3 linked regions of the Arabidopsis thaliana genome follow. The protein of the gene in region 1 interacts with the protein of each later gene in a pairwise test. Each region holds a gene or a part of one and is shown on either strand. Other genes may lie near its edges.

The links.
Region 2: the proteins of AT1G10585 (region 1) and AT1G73920 interact in a two-hybrid assay, tested with the Arabidopsis thaliana proteins (one large-scale study listed by BioGRID).
Region 3: the proteins of AT1G10585 (region 1) and AT5G40590 interact in a two-hybrid assay, tested with the Arabidopsis thaliana proteins (one large-scale study listed by BioGRID).

Annotation. Positions count from the first base shown.
Region 1 is NC_003070.9:3,493,449-3,497,205, reverse strand, and holds AT1G10585 (basic helix-loop-helix (bHLH) DNA-binding superfamily protein), read left to right. Parts: upstream 1-1,961; 5' UTR 1,962-2,101; coding exon 2,102-2,239; intron 2,240-2,521; exon of another isoform or gene 2,522-2,550; coding exon of another isoform or gene 2,551-2,592; coding exon 2,593-2,910; intron 2,911-3,001; coding exon 3,002-3,091; 3' UTR 3,092-3,436; downstream 3,437-3,757. Other genes in the region: AT1G10586 (basic helix-loop-helix (bHLH) DNA-binding superfamily protein), read left to right, coding at 7-75; AT1G10580 (Transducin/WD40 repeat-like superfamily protein), read left to right, coding at 3,541-3,757.
Region 2 is NC_003070.9:27,788,638-27,792,394, reverse strand, and holds the start of AT1G73920 (alpha/beta-Hydrolases superfamily protein), read right to left. Parts: upstream 1,659-3,757; 5' UTR 1,202-1,658; coding exon 1,161-1,201; intron 800-1,160; exon of another isoform or gene 795-799; coding exon 621-794; intron 537-620; coding exon 140-536; intron 42-139; coding exon 1-41. Other genes in the region: ARP4A (actin-related proteins 4A), read right to left, coding at 2,095-2,272, 2,425-2,498, 2,586-2,732, 2,862-2,953, 3,090-3,102; AT1G73890 (Bifunctional inhibitor/lipid-transfer protein/seed storage 2S albumin superfamily protein), read left to right, coding at 3,737-3,757.
Region 3 is NC_003076.8:16,250,814-16,254,570, forward strand, and holds AT5G40590 (Cysteine/Histidine-rich C1 domain family protein), read right to left. Parts: upstream 1,622-3,757; 5' UTR 1,501-1,621; coding exon 796-1,500; 3' UTR 505-795; downstream 1-504. Other genes in the region: AT5G40595 (uncharacterized protein), read left to right, coding at 2,697-2,963, 3,108-3,266.

The sequences.
Region 1 (3,757 bases):
TTGCAGGCTATCATATGTCGGATCGGGATTGATCCATCAAGGATAGAAGAGAGATTAAGGGATATAATCTCATGATTAATTTTTTGAAGCATTATTGAATCCCAAATCACAAGTCTTTTCTTAACAAATTAAATGTGTTAGTTCTTTAAACATGAGATTATGAGTATTTTTAAGAGTGAATTGGTGTAATAGCCCTATTGTTGTTTAAGTTAAAGAGAATGATCAAATGTCTGAATACCATTTCCTCAAGTATATGAACGAAAAAGCCTCTCACATCATCTTCAAAATCTCTTTATTTTCTCTTTTCTTTCTATGCCTAATCTCTATTACGTTTATAGAATCTCATGTTTAAATATAAAATATATTATCTACTTTTATTGTCAAGAACTCTCAAATTTTCTTTCATTGAGCATTTTAAGCTCAAATATTTTATTACAGGCGCCGTCTAAAATAGTCGTAATTGATATTTGCATACATAGAATAGATAGATGTTATGCATCTGATGACTATCTTCAAAACATGTTCAAGGGCATAGGCATTTGGATCCACTTTTGGAGTTTTTCATATTGCGATAGCAAGGACATTCATCTTTGTTTTCTCCTAAAATCACACATGGTTAGATTTTGTATGTGAATATAGTTAACTAAAACTTAAAAAACATGTATATATACACGACATAACTAGTAAACAAATCTTTTTTTCTAAATGTCTTATATAAATTGGACAGTATATATAGATCGATAACAAAAATTTCGCTACAAATTTTCTAACTATAAGTAATCATCCTTTTCTAGCCACAGAATTAGTTACAAGTAATTATAGGCTTAACATTTTAAAATTGGGCTAATCTGTATTTCTAGTCACGGATTTTCAATGGCTATGAATTATGATAGTTACCAAATGACTATTCTCTTCTTGTACGAATTCAAATATTTGAAGAAGGAAAAAAAGAATAACATGTGGAAAATGCAATAAGGATATAATTGTCCCTTACTCAGTTTCTAAGCAAGTGGTCAAGCAGCGAGACGATATATACACAGTGTTAGTATCATATTGCGGCTCCTTTTACTTTTTATGTCAGTTTGCTCAGTGGCAAAGTTATGACCAACATCTACCTGGAGTACTCCAAGACTCAACAAAACTAGGCATGTTTAATTTTCTGTCTTTGTATTCACCTCCGGTGAACGTTTAGACGATCGGTCCATGTAGATCCCCTATCCGGTGAACGATGTCGGCCATACGGCCAAAGAGAGTTGAGGGCCTTTAATAATTTATGTAAGGAATGCCGAATGTGTTGTGTCCTTTTCTTCTATGATAATGATAGCTTGTTGAATAATCTTAGGTTATGGCGCCTTATGATACTTTCCTCGGATAATGAATACGTGCACCAAATTAATTGAACATGATGATACTATTTGATTTAGTGGTCCCGATTCTATCAGTATACAAAACAATTTTCCTTTTCTATTTGTTGATAGAAACATATATAGTACTGTTGTAAGGAATTCATTTTTGTCTACCGTGGCTGTTGACTATTTTACGCCATTGAAATGATTTTTGATAATAATTTTCTCCAAACCTACTGTAAATCACAGGACTTAAACTCATGGTTAGTAATCTGAAAGAAGAAGAATCATATCTCTGAACGTTAGGAATCTCATCTCACACGGTAAGCATGATGCTATCTAAACTATGTCTTTGAACGTTAGAAATCTTACATCGAAATTATGATGCGTCCTAGTAATGTGTCAACCCACCAACAAATCTAATTTTTTTTTTAATGATAAACAACATATCTAATTGTTTTGAAACTTTTGTATCTTTAAGAACGTGGAAATTCCGAAGTAAATAGTAAAATTTACTTGGTAGGAAAGATGCATGCATCTTATTAATTTAGTGTGTAAGCTCACGGACGCAATCACAAAAGCCATGACTTTCTTCCAAAACATCCCTTTCATCTAAATCACGTAGCTCTTTCTCTCAAAGTTGAGATTTGTGACTCTGTATCTCCCGGCCCTCTCTATCTCTTTAACTGTATATAAAGAGAGATGGATTTGAAAAGAGAAACTTGTACATAAAAGCTTAAAAGAAAACAAAAAGAATGGGGAGAGCAAGAGAAATAGGAGAAGGAAACTCATCGTCGTTAAGGGAACAACGAAACCTCAGAGAGAAGGATCGAAGGATGCGCATGAAACATCTCTTCTCTATACTTTCTTCTCATGTTTCTCCCACTCGCAAGGTCCGTTTTTTCTCTCTAACTCTCCCTCTCTCTCTTTCTCTCTCTATATATATCTTATATTAAATTGTAGATGTGTTTTATGCGTATATACAACAATACAAACATTATCTACATAATTACTGTAAGATGTACGTTTTATTCTAAAGAGATAATATTTTGATTAATTGAATAGGCAGTTGTCCCTCTATGACCGTCCATATTAGCTCTCTTTTAAGTACGGTGTCTAATTGACAAATAAATGATTCACGTAGCTAGGGTTTTTACGGTTTATTTATATATATTGAATATAACCACATTCATGTAAAAGATTAATGAAAGTAATTATCTTGGGGTTTTTTTTGGGATCTAAACAGTTACCAGTGCCTCACCTTATAGATCAAGCGACATCATACATGATCCAATTGAAAGAGAATGTAAATTATTTGAAAGAGAAGAAAAGGACATTGTTACAAGGAGAACTCGGGAATCTCTACGAAGGGTCGTTTCTTCTACCCAAACTCAGTATTCGTTCGCGGGATTCGACCATAGAAATGAATCTGATCATGGATCTAAACATGAAAAGAGTAATGTTACACGAGCTTGTGAGTATTTTTGAAGAAGAAGGAGCTCAAGTAATGAGTGCTAATCTTCAGAACTTGAATGATAGGACCACTTACACAATCATAGCCCAGGTACCACATCCACACGCATATGTTTGTATAATACACACGTATATGCATGTGTCATGTCTTTCGTATAAATTTTTATTACATATATTTGCAGGCTATCATTAGTCGGATTGGCATTGATCCATCAAGGATAGAAGAGAGAGTACGGAAAATCATCTATGGATATATATATTTTGAAGCATGAAATCCCAAATGATAAGTCTACGCTAACGCTAGTGTGTTTTTTCACACATGTGTTAGTTCTTTAAATATGAGATGAGTAATTGCTTTTGAGTTCGATTATGATAAATATGTTGACCGTCAACATAAGAAACCTTAAAACGTTGTCGTTTCGTTTTTATTCATCCCGGTTTAATTCAGTTTGGCTTGGCGTGATTTTAGATTGGTCCAGATTTGCATAATTTTAACCACCGAGTAAGACAGTGGGATGTAAATGTCAATAAAATACACTATTGGGGTAAATGTGAAAAGAAAAAAATAGTAAGAGGCTATATTTGAAAATCTAAATATCGCACAAATTGCAACCCTTATTTTAGATTTAGGAATTTTGAAACCCTTGTCGAAGAGAAAAGAGGCAAAATCTCAGTATAAAGTTTCTCAAACACTTGTGGTAAGAGAGCAAAATCGTGAGAGATGGATCTGATTCAATCCTACGAAGAAGAAGACGAAGCCGTTGCTTCCTCGCCGGAATCTTCACCGCCTCGTATGTTAAAGGCGAAATCATCGGCGCCGGAGGTAGACGATACGGCACTAGCTCTCACGGTGGCTAACGTGAATCAATCGAAATCGAAGCCGATTGACCCGACTCAACACGTCGTCTTTTATAACCCTACCCATGATCAGCTGTGGG
Region 2 (3,757 bases), about 24 Mb from region 1:
AATATTGCTTCTATGCCGATCTCGATAGCAAGATGAAGATCCTGAAAAATAAAGCACATTAAGTAGGACGAGTTTGTCAAAAGGTTTAAAATCACAAAAATGATTGTAACATTGAATATTTGTTCGTGCATCCACAAACCTCAATAACCCCACGTCTTCTATCAGTAGTTCGGTTGGGAACATCATGGTCTTTGCTTGAGTTGGTCTTGCTAATACGAGGTCTAGATGAATGTTGGTGCCTTCTCGGGCTCGCAGGAATTCTTGAACTTCGTTTATAGAATAAACTTATAATATATTGTGGTATCCATAGCAAGATCCGTACAGGAAACATTAACCACCAAAGAATGAACGTAATCCACTCTGTCCAGTGGTTTTCAGAACTTGCAGAAGTGCTAGCCCAAGAGAGGCGTGAGCTTTGAGATGATGGTGATGGAGGCAAAGGACCATCACTATCTTCTCCAGAAGAATACTCCAAGCTTGAAGTATCAGAATCAACAGAAAGCTCATGAATGAACTCATTGAAAGAAGAGACCCCACTGCCATCAAAAACAGAGTAAAATTAGCATATTTTGAAGGCTTGCAAATAAACTAACAACAGAAGAATCATGAGAAATTATTACTTATGCATCCACCGTGGTAAACGTGGTCCACGAAACGTAGGCCTGAGTTCCCAGCCATGTAAGCCTTCAAGAATATTAGCCTTCCCTGGGAGAAGGGTCAACAGAAGAGCTGATACTCCATTTATGCACCTCGCAATGTTATTCAAAGACTCATATGTAACAGTTTTTACTGATCTGCACTAAAAGCCAAAACATAATCAAAAAGCTTATTTAGTTTAAGCTTGTTAGACAACATAAGGGAAAAGAAGAACATCTAACAAAAAGACGAACCAAAAAAAAAGAAATAGTCATTTCACCGACTCAAAGTTCATAGCCAACATCAACTCTAAAAGACGAAGCTTTGAATGAAGATACTAGAATAAAATGGTCTAACAAAACTCAAAAACACAATCTACCAATACTAATTAACAAAGAGACTTACTATAATCACCAAACGATCAAAAACTTAAAAATCTCTACTTGTCATTTATGAAACATTAGAACAACTATAGGCGCATACACAGATGAATCCACTGATGATCGATAAGAAAAAAGACTCACTCTTTGGTTACAGCGAGAGCGTTGTCCACGATCCGTTGCATTGCTTTTTTCTCAAAAATCAGATTTTTTTGTTTTTTTGGAAATATCAGAAAATTTGAAACCAAAAAACAATCTGATTCGTCGCCGTAATCCGAAAATTATCGAGGAAAACGACAAAGAGAAAATTTCTTATCCACCTGAGAAAACACAAAATTTAGCCAGAATAGAAATCTCTCGATGCTAGGAGATATTGGACCAAATCGCGATCGAGATTTAATCCGAACTCAAAATAAGGAAAACACAGAGACCCACAGGAGCCGCGATTCGAGAATCAAAAATCTAAAAAGAAAAAACAAAATTGGAGAGAATCTGACGAAAATAAAATAAAAATGGGAGAATCCGATTAAATAGGGGCACGTCGGCGATTCTTGCCGTCCAGAGACCAGAAAATGGTGACACGTGGACATGTGTTATTGGATAATGACGAATGTGACAAAAACTACGACACGTAAATTCGACTTTTGGATAACGGAGAAGGTGGATTTACCAAACAGGCAAACACACAAGTACATTTGTGGTTGTTTTCACTTAGAAAAATAGTACATTTGTTGTATGTTAACGTTGAAACATTATATTATACGAAGCTATTTCTAAAGCTTCATAATAATAATAAAAAAGTGTTTAATATTTGCCTAAATAAATGAAAAGATACTAATTACTTAATCCCTAAACCCTCTGACTGTCTCCAAAGGTTCTCGTTATCTTGATCTCAAGCAGCTTTTAAGGGCATTTCCTCTGGATGTAAGAAGCTCCATGCTCTGCATACCTGTCATGTACACAAAAAGACTCAAACCCTAGCGATGAGAAGACACTGTTTATACGTGAGTCGAGATCTAGAGAGCAATCCAATGTGTTACTTACTCAGACTTGGAGAACCACATTTGCTGGAATGAGCCTAACGATGCCAGTATACTACCTTACTTCTACCAAGTCTTTCTCGAGGCGTTCTTTCAATTACTGCATTGATGATGTTCCACCAGAATAATCTGTTCCTAATCCAAGATGAACTCAGCATCGATAAAAGGTAGAGAAACCAGACTTTTCTCTCTGCTGCTGTGAGTTCAGAGGAGGCTCTGCAAGTAGCATTGGGTGCTCCGTGGGATCAATCATTAGACAATTCCTTGAATAATAAACATTTACACAGATGAAATCATCAATCAACTATAAATGGAAAAGATAAAGATTAAACAGTTAAAGACAAAAACTAACAGATTCTGCAAATTACCTAAAAGCATGATCCCATACATTGTCCACCATATCCCAATCAGTTACAATGCCATCCTTTGTAGGTGACAATATCTGGAACAGACAAATGTCAACTAATAGAGAGACCTGAAAATTTATCTTCATCCCTAACCATTTTGAAGTTTAATAAAGAAAACTGACCTCCATTTGATCGCGGCGAAAGTTCAAAGCTTGAGATCCTGTGTAAAGCTTCCTTTTGCCTTTTTCTTTATCAGACTCCTTTGCATCCTCCGTGGTGTTTGCAGCATCATCAATATCCATTCCATTTCCATCTATCGCTCCAACAACCTTATAAGTTATATAACACATCAACAACAGCAACAACAAAAAACCTAAATTTCTCGAATTGCTTGCTCTACACTAAAAGGACCTAACTTTAACCAATTGAAAAGAGAGGAAGTAAAGAATGAGACTTACGGAAGGGAAAACAGCTTTAGGGGCATCTTCTCCGGCGTAACCAGCTTTGCAAGTGTGAGAACCTAAGTCTACTACGATAGCTGACACTTCGTCTGTTCAATATATAAGAAACCCCACCAAGGAAAAGTTTACACCTTTACGAGACGAGCTCAAGCGAAAAGGGAAAGAAGTAATGCTGAATTTGTACAATCAGAGAGAGATTTTAGAGAGGACGAAAATAAAACCTACCTCCACCGTACATGGCTGCCGAGAATGGGAGAGGTGAAGAGAGGTTTTCTCTACCGGAGCTTCGTCGGAAGGTTTAAGAACGGAACCGGAAAGTAAACTATTTAAGTGATTTCACTTTGTCTCGGATTGGGAAGTTGAATATAAAGAAGAGAAGGACTAAAACAAACAAACCTGAAATATGAGGGACTAAAACTAAAGAAACTGAAAACAAAGGGACTAAAATAAAAACAAATATGAAAAAATTAAAAATACGCCGTTGCCGGGGATCGAACCCGGGTCACCCGCGTGACAGGCGGGAATACTTACCACTATACTACAACGACTTTGTTGCTCAAGTTTTCTAAATTTGGTATTTCAATTGGTTAACTATTTCAAATTCTAAAAATTTGTTAACGAGATTCCGGTAACATTCTTGTTTTCTTGTGGTCAACAAGAAGCACAATTTACGAATGAACTCAAAAACACCAAATAAGAAACGAGCATGAAGAACTCAAGTGTTGCAACAAATAAACACACATCATGTGTGCAATAACAATTCATGTCCATAGTCACACACACCAAACCAATTGATTCCAACCTTAAATACTCAGAATCCCCTTACTCTCCCACAAACAAAGAAGAAAGAAACTTAGTCTCCTAGGAAAAAAATGGCTTCTTCTACTCTTCTC
Region 3 (3,757 bases), on another chromosome or scaffold:
GGTTTTGCTGAGAGGAAGGAAGCTCGAATCGGAGAAGAAGAAGAAAGCAAGCAACTTTAGCAGAGAGTTTTCTTCTTCCTCAATTAAACTATTTTTGAGGCTCTATTATAAATGGGCCTATCTTTACTTTAATGGGCTTAACTTCTGTCAAAATGAGCCCATTTGTTAACTCCCTAATGATTATGTGACTTCTAATTGTGTGTGTGTTTTTCTTGACATCATCACTTCTAATTGTGTGTTTGCATTTGCAAGGTCTGGATTTGTTTGTTTTTTATTCAGTTTTGAGATCAATTTGATTTTACGAACAAATAACATTGACAGAAATATAAAATAAAATGTAATTAATACTATATTGATAATATAGATATAATTAAATCTTAAACTTTAGATTTTATTTTACCATCCGTTATTAACACATCGATAACACTAACACAAACTACTTTAAATAACCCCAAATCTCACAATTTCAATACTTTATTCCCAATATTTTTAATCTATAAGTAGGGGTGATCCAATACTTATATATTTTTCCTATAGTAATATAAAATGGATTATGGAACTTGAAACATAGTATGCAAAGGTAACATGGTTACAAAAACGAAAGCAGCAATAATCGTTCAAAAAAAAAAACTGATAATTCTTTTATTTCAGATAACAATTTCAAAGAAAAAAACAACAACAACAACAACATGAAAAGTTTGCAGGAGCAACAACAACATAAATCAAGAAAAAGCAACAAAAAGAAGAAAAACAGACACAAGTAAAGAGAATTTGAAGAATCCCAACTTCTTCGAATTAGATGCAATTGAGAGCTGCCTTATTCGCCTTTTTCGAAATCAAAGCACTTTGCATCGCCAAATGCATCTCAATCTGCATCCTCTCCACTTCTCTTTGAGCCTCTAACATTGCAGCTAACTCCGAATTCATCGAGTTTTTACTTCCTTCTCCTTTTTGATCTTCTTTCTTTGCCTCTTCCTCTTTCTTACATGAGTGTAAATGCGTAGCGTAATCACATTCCTTGCAATAATACGACCAGAGATTATCCGGTACAATGTCTTCACAAACATCGCATTTGGAAACTAAACCGGGTTGGTTATAAGGAGAACCGTAAAGAAGAGTAAGTGGATGTGGGTGATCTTCACGCTTCACTGTTTCAGGCATTGAAACACATCCGACATGTACATCGTACTGACAGATTGAACAGTTGTACGTGAAACTTGATCCGTATTCGCCGCAAGCATTACACGTGTACGTTGACTTTGGGGAATAGATTAAAGTCAAAGTGTGGGGTTGGTGAGATTTGTGGTTGGTTTCACGTGGAAGTTCAAAACATGACTTGTGCAAGAAGTAATCACAATCTGATGACTTTGTGCATTTGAAAGCTGCACCAACCAGATCGAGATCACAACCGGAGCAGATGATTTCGTCTTTGGCTTCGCATTTGTGACCGCGCAATGGATGGTTGTGACTCGGGTGCCTCACCGATTGTCGTGAAGACATTGTTTTATTCAATGTTCTTGATTTAGTATTGAGAGGCGTTTTGTTTGTGTTTGTGTTTGTGATTGTAATTAGCTTAGGATTTCAATCTATTTATAGCGTTAATGGAGAAGACTTAGTGATATTGAGTCTTGGTTTTGAATTTGACTATCAAACCAAGTTGTAGTTTATAGTGATTAACTATATAATTGGGAGAACAATGTCACGCTTTAAGTTATATATATATATAATATATTATATATTAAGTATATAACAAAATGGTTCATTTGGGATTCGAAGTCAAGAAATGCATTTCAAAGTCAAGAGATGCATTATGCATGGAATTAGTTTGCGATCTTGTTCACGCATCTGAGTTTTTTTTAAATGTTATAACTATAATTAGCTAATTAACCTGTTGAAATTCAAGATAAATCAAAATAAATATTGTTCTATCATTAGCAAGTTGGGGATAAATACATTAACGTTGACATAGTGACGGATGTAAAAGTCAAACTAATCACAATGCTTTGACTCTAATTAATTAAGGCTGATATCCACCGTCTACTCCTTCGTTTCGTTTCGTTTCGTTTCGTTTCATACAATAATGTTTTTTGGAATGCATACATACTATATTGTAAAATGATTGAATTACACTTTTTTATAAGAAATGATAAAAAATGATAAAAGAATTGGTGGAGATACAAAAATAAGAGATGCTCGAAATAATAATAGAATTGTGAAAACAAAAACAACAACGCATTAAAATAATATGATTGTTTTATTAAAATCATAAATATATATATATATAAAAAAACAAAATATAAATTAACATATTTTAGTTAGTTTATATCTTTGTAATCGATTCGATTATGTTACGCTCACAATCACAAGTTTGAAAATCTTCGTGTGGGATGAATCATAATGGATCCTGTAATAGAAATGTCATAATAAACAGATTACGGAATCCTTGATTATTGATATGGTTTCCTTAGTCAAAAAAATTAGAATCACTGGGGAACAGTAATGGAATTCAATCATGCAAAAATAACTTGTCAATTTATGTTAATATTATGTAAGAGATCCTCATGATTCGAATTGTGATTCATTCATGTAGCAGTTTCACCGATGATCTTATGTGTTATAAATTAGATTAATATTCAGACAAGGTCACACTCACACATTGACATTACATACGATCAAACTCGGTTTCTTACGGTACCATGTCGCGGTTTGGAGAAAACAATGGCAAGGGCATTAAGCCCCTGCCAAGAACAATTCGAGTTCGCATGTTTGACAACTCGGAATTAATCAGAAGGTTAAAGAGGACGACACTTATCGGAAAGATTATGAATCCTGACGTTCAGAGTGTTGGATCACTAGTTTTGATGATGCCTAGAATCTGGAAACTAGAGGGTCAAGTGGTTGGGAGGGACTTGGGATTGGGAACGTTCAGGTTAGATTTCGAGAGAGAGGAAGATATTCTTGAGGTGATGAAAACGGAGACTTTCAATTATAATCATTGGATGCTTTCTATTGTAAGGTGGGAACCGATTATACACAAGGACTACCCATCGGCCATCACATTTTGGGTCCGAATCGTGGGTGTTCCTCGGGATTTCTGAACTGATCAGGATTTCCGGAGAATAGGGAATGAGCTAGGAACTGTTCAAACCTTTTCGGCTACTGTGCTTCTTGTTTTAGTCTTCGCCATGATGAAGAATCTTGCCCACACAGCGACTTGCACAATCATGTTTCGACACATGACGAGTGATTCGAGTCAATCGAACTAAGATGGTTCACATTTGGGATTCAAAGTCAAGAGATTCATGCAACTATTTTCCGAACTCATCCAGGCATCTGAGTTTTTACTTTTATAATGTATGTCGTAATATCGAATTATCATTATCAAGTTGAAGAGTGTGAATCTAATATTAAGCACAATGCTTGACTCTTAAGGCCAATAGATAACTAAAAATGACGATTTAACAAAGTACTCAAATCAAAACTCTTACACTACAAAATAACCCTAAAGATTCTATTTGCGGAATTTGGAAGTAAATATTCCAAAATTACTTAAAACTCAGTCTCACATACTACTAGCATATGTCTTAACTACTCTCAAGTCTTCAACAGTCAATTCTCTAATGAGAAAATCAGTTTTTAGATCTTTAATGACTGATAAAGAACAAACCTTTGATGAAAAAGTACAACATTTGTTTGGTAATTTGTGAAAAACCTAACTCATACGCAGGAGTCATTATCAACATAACTTTTGGCATTA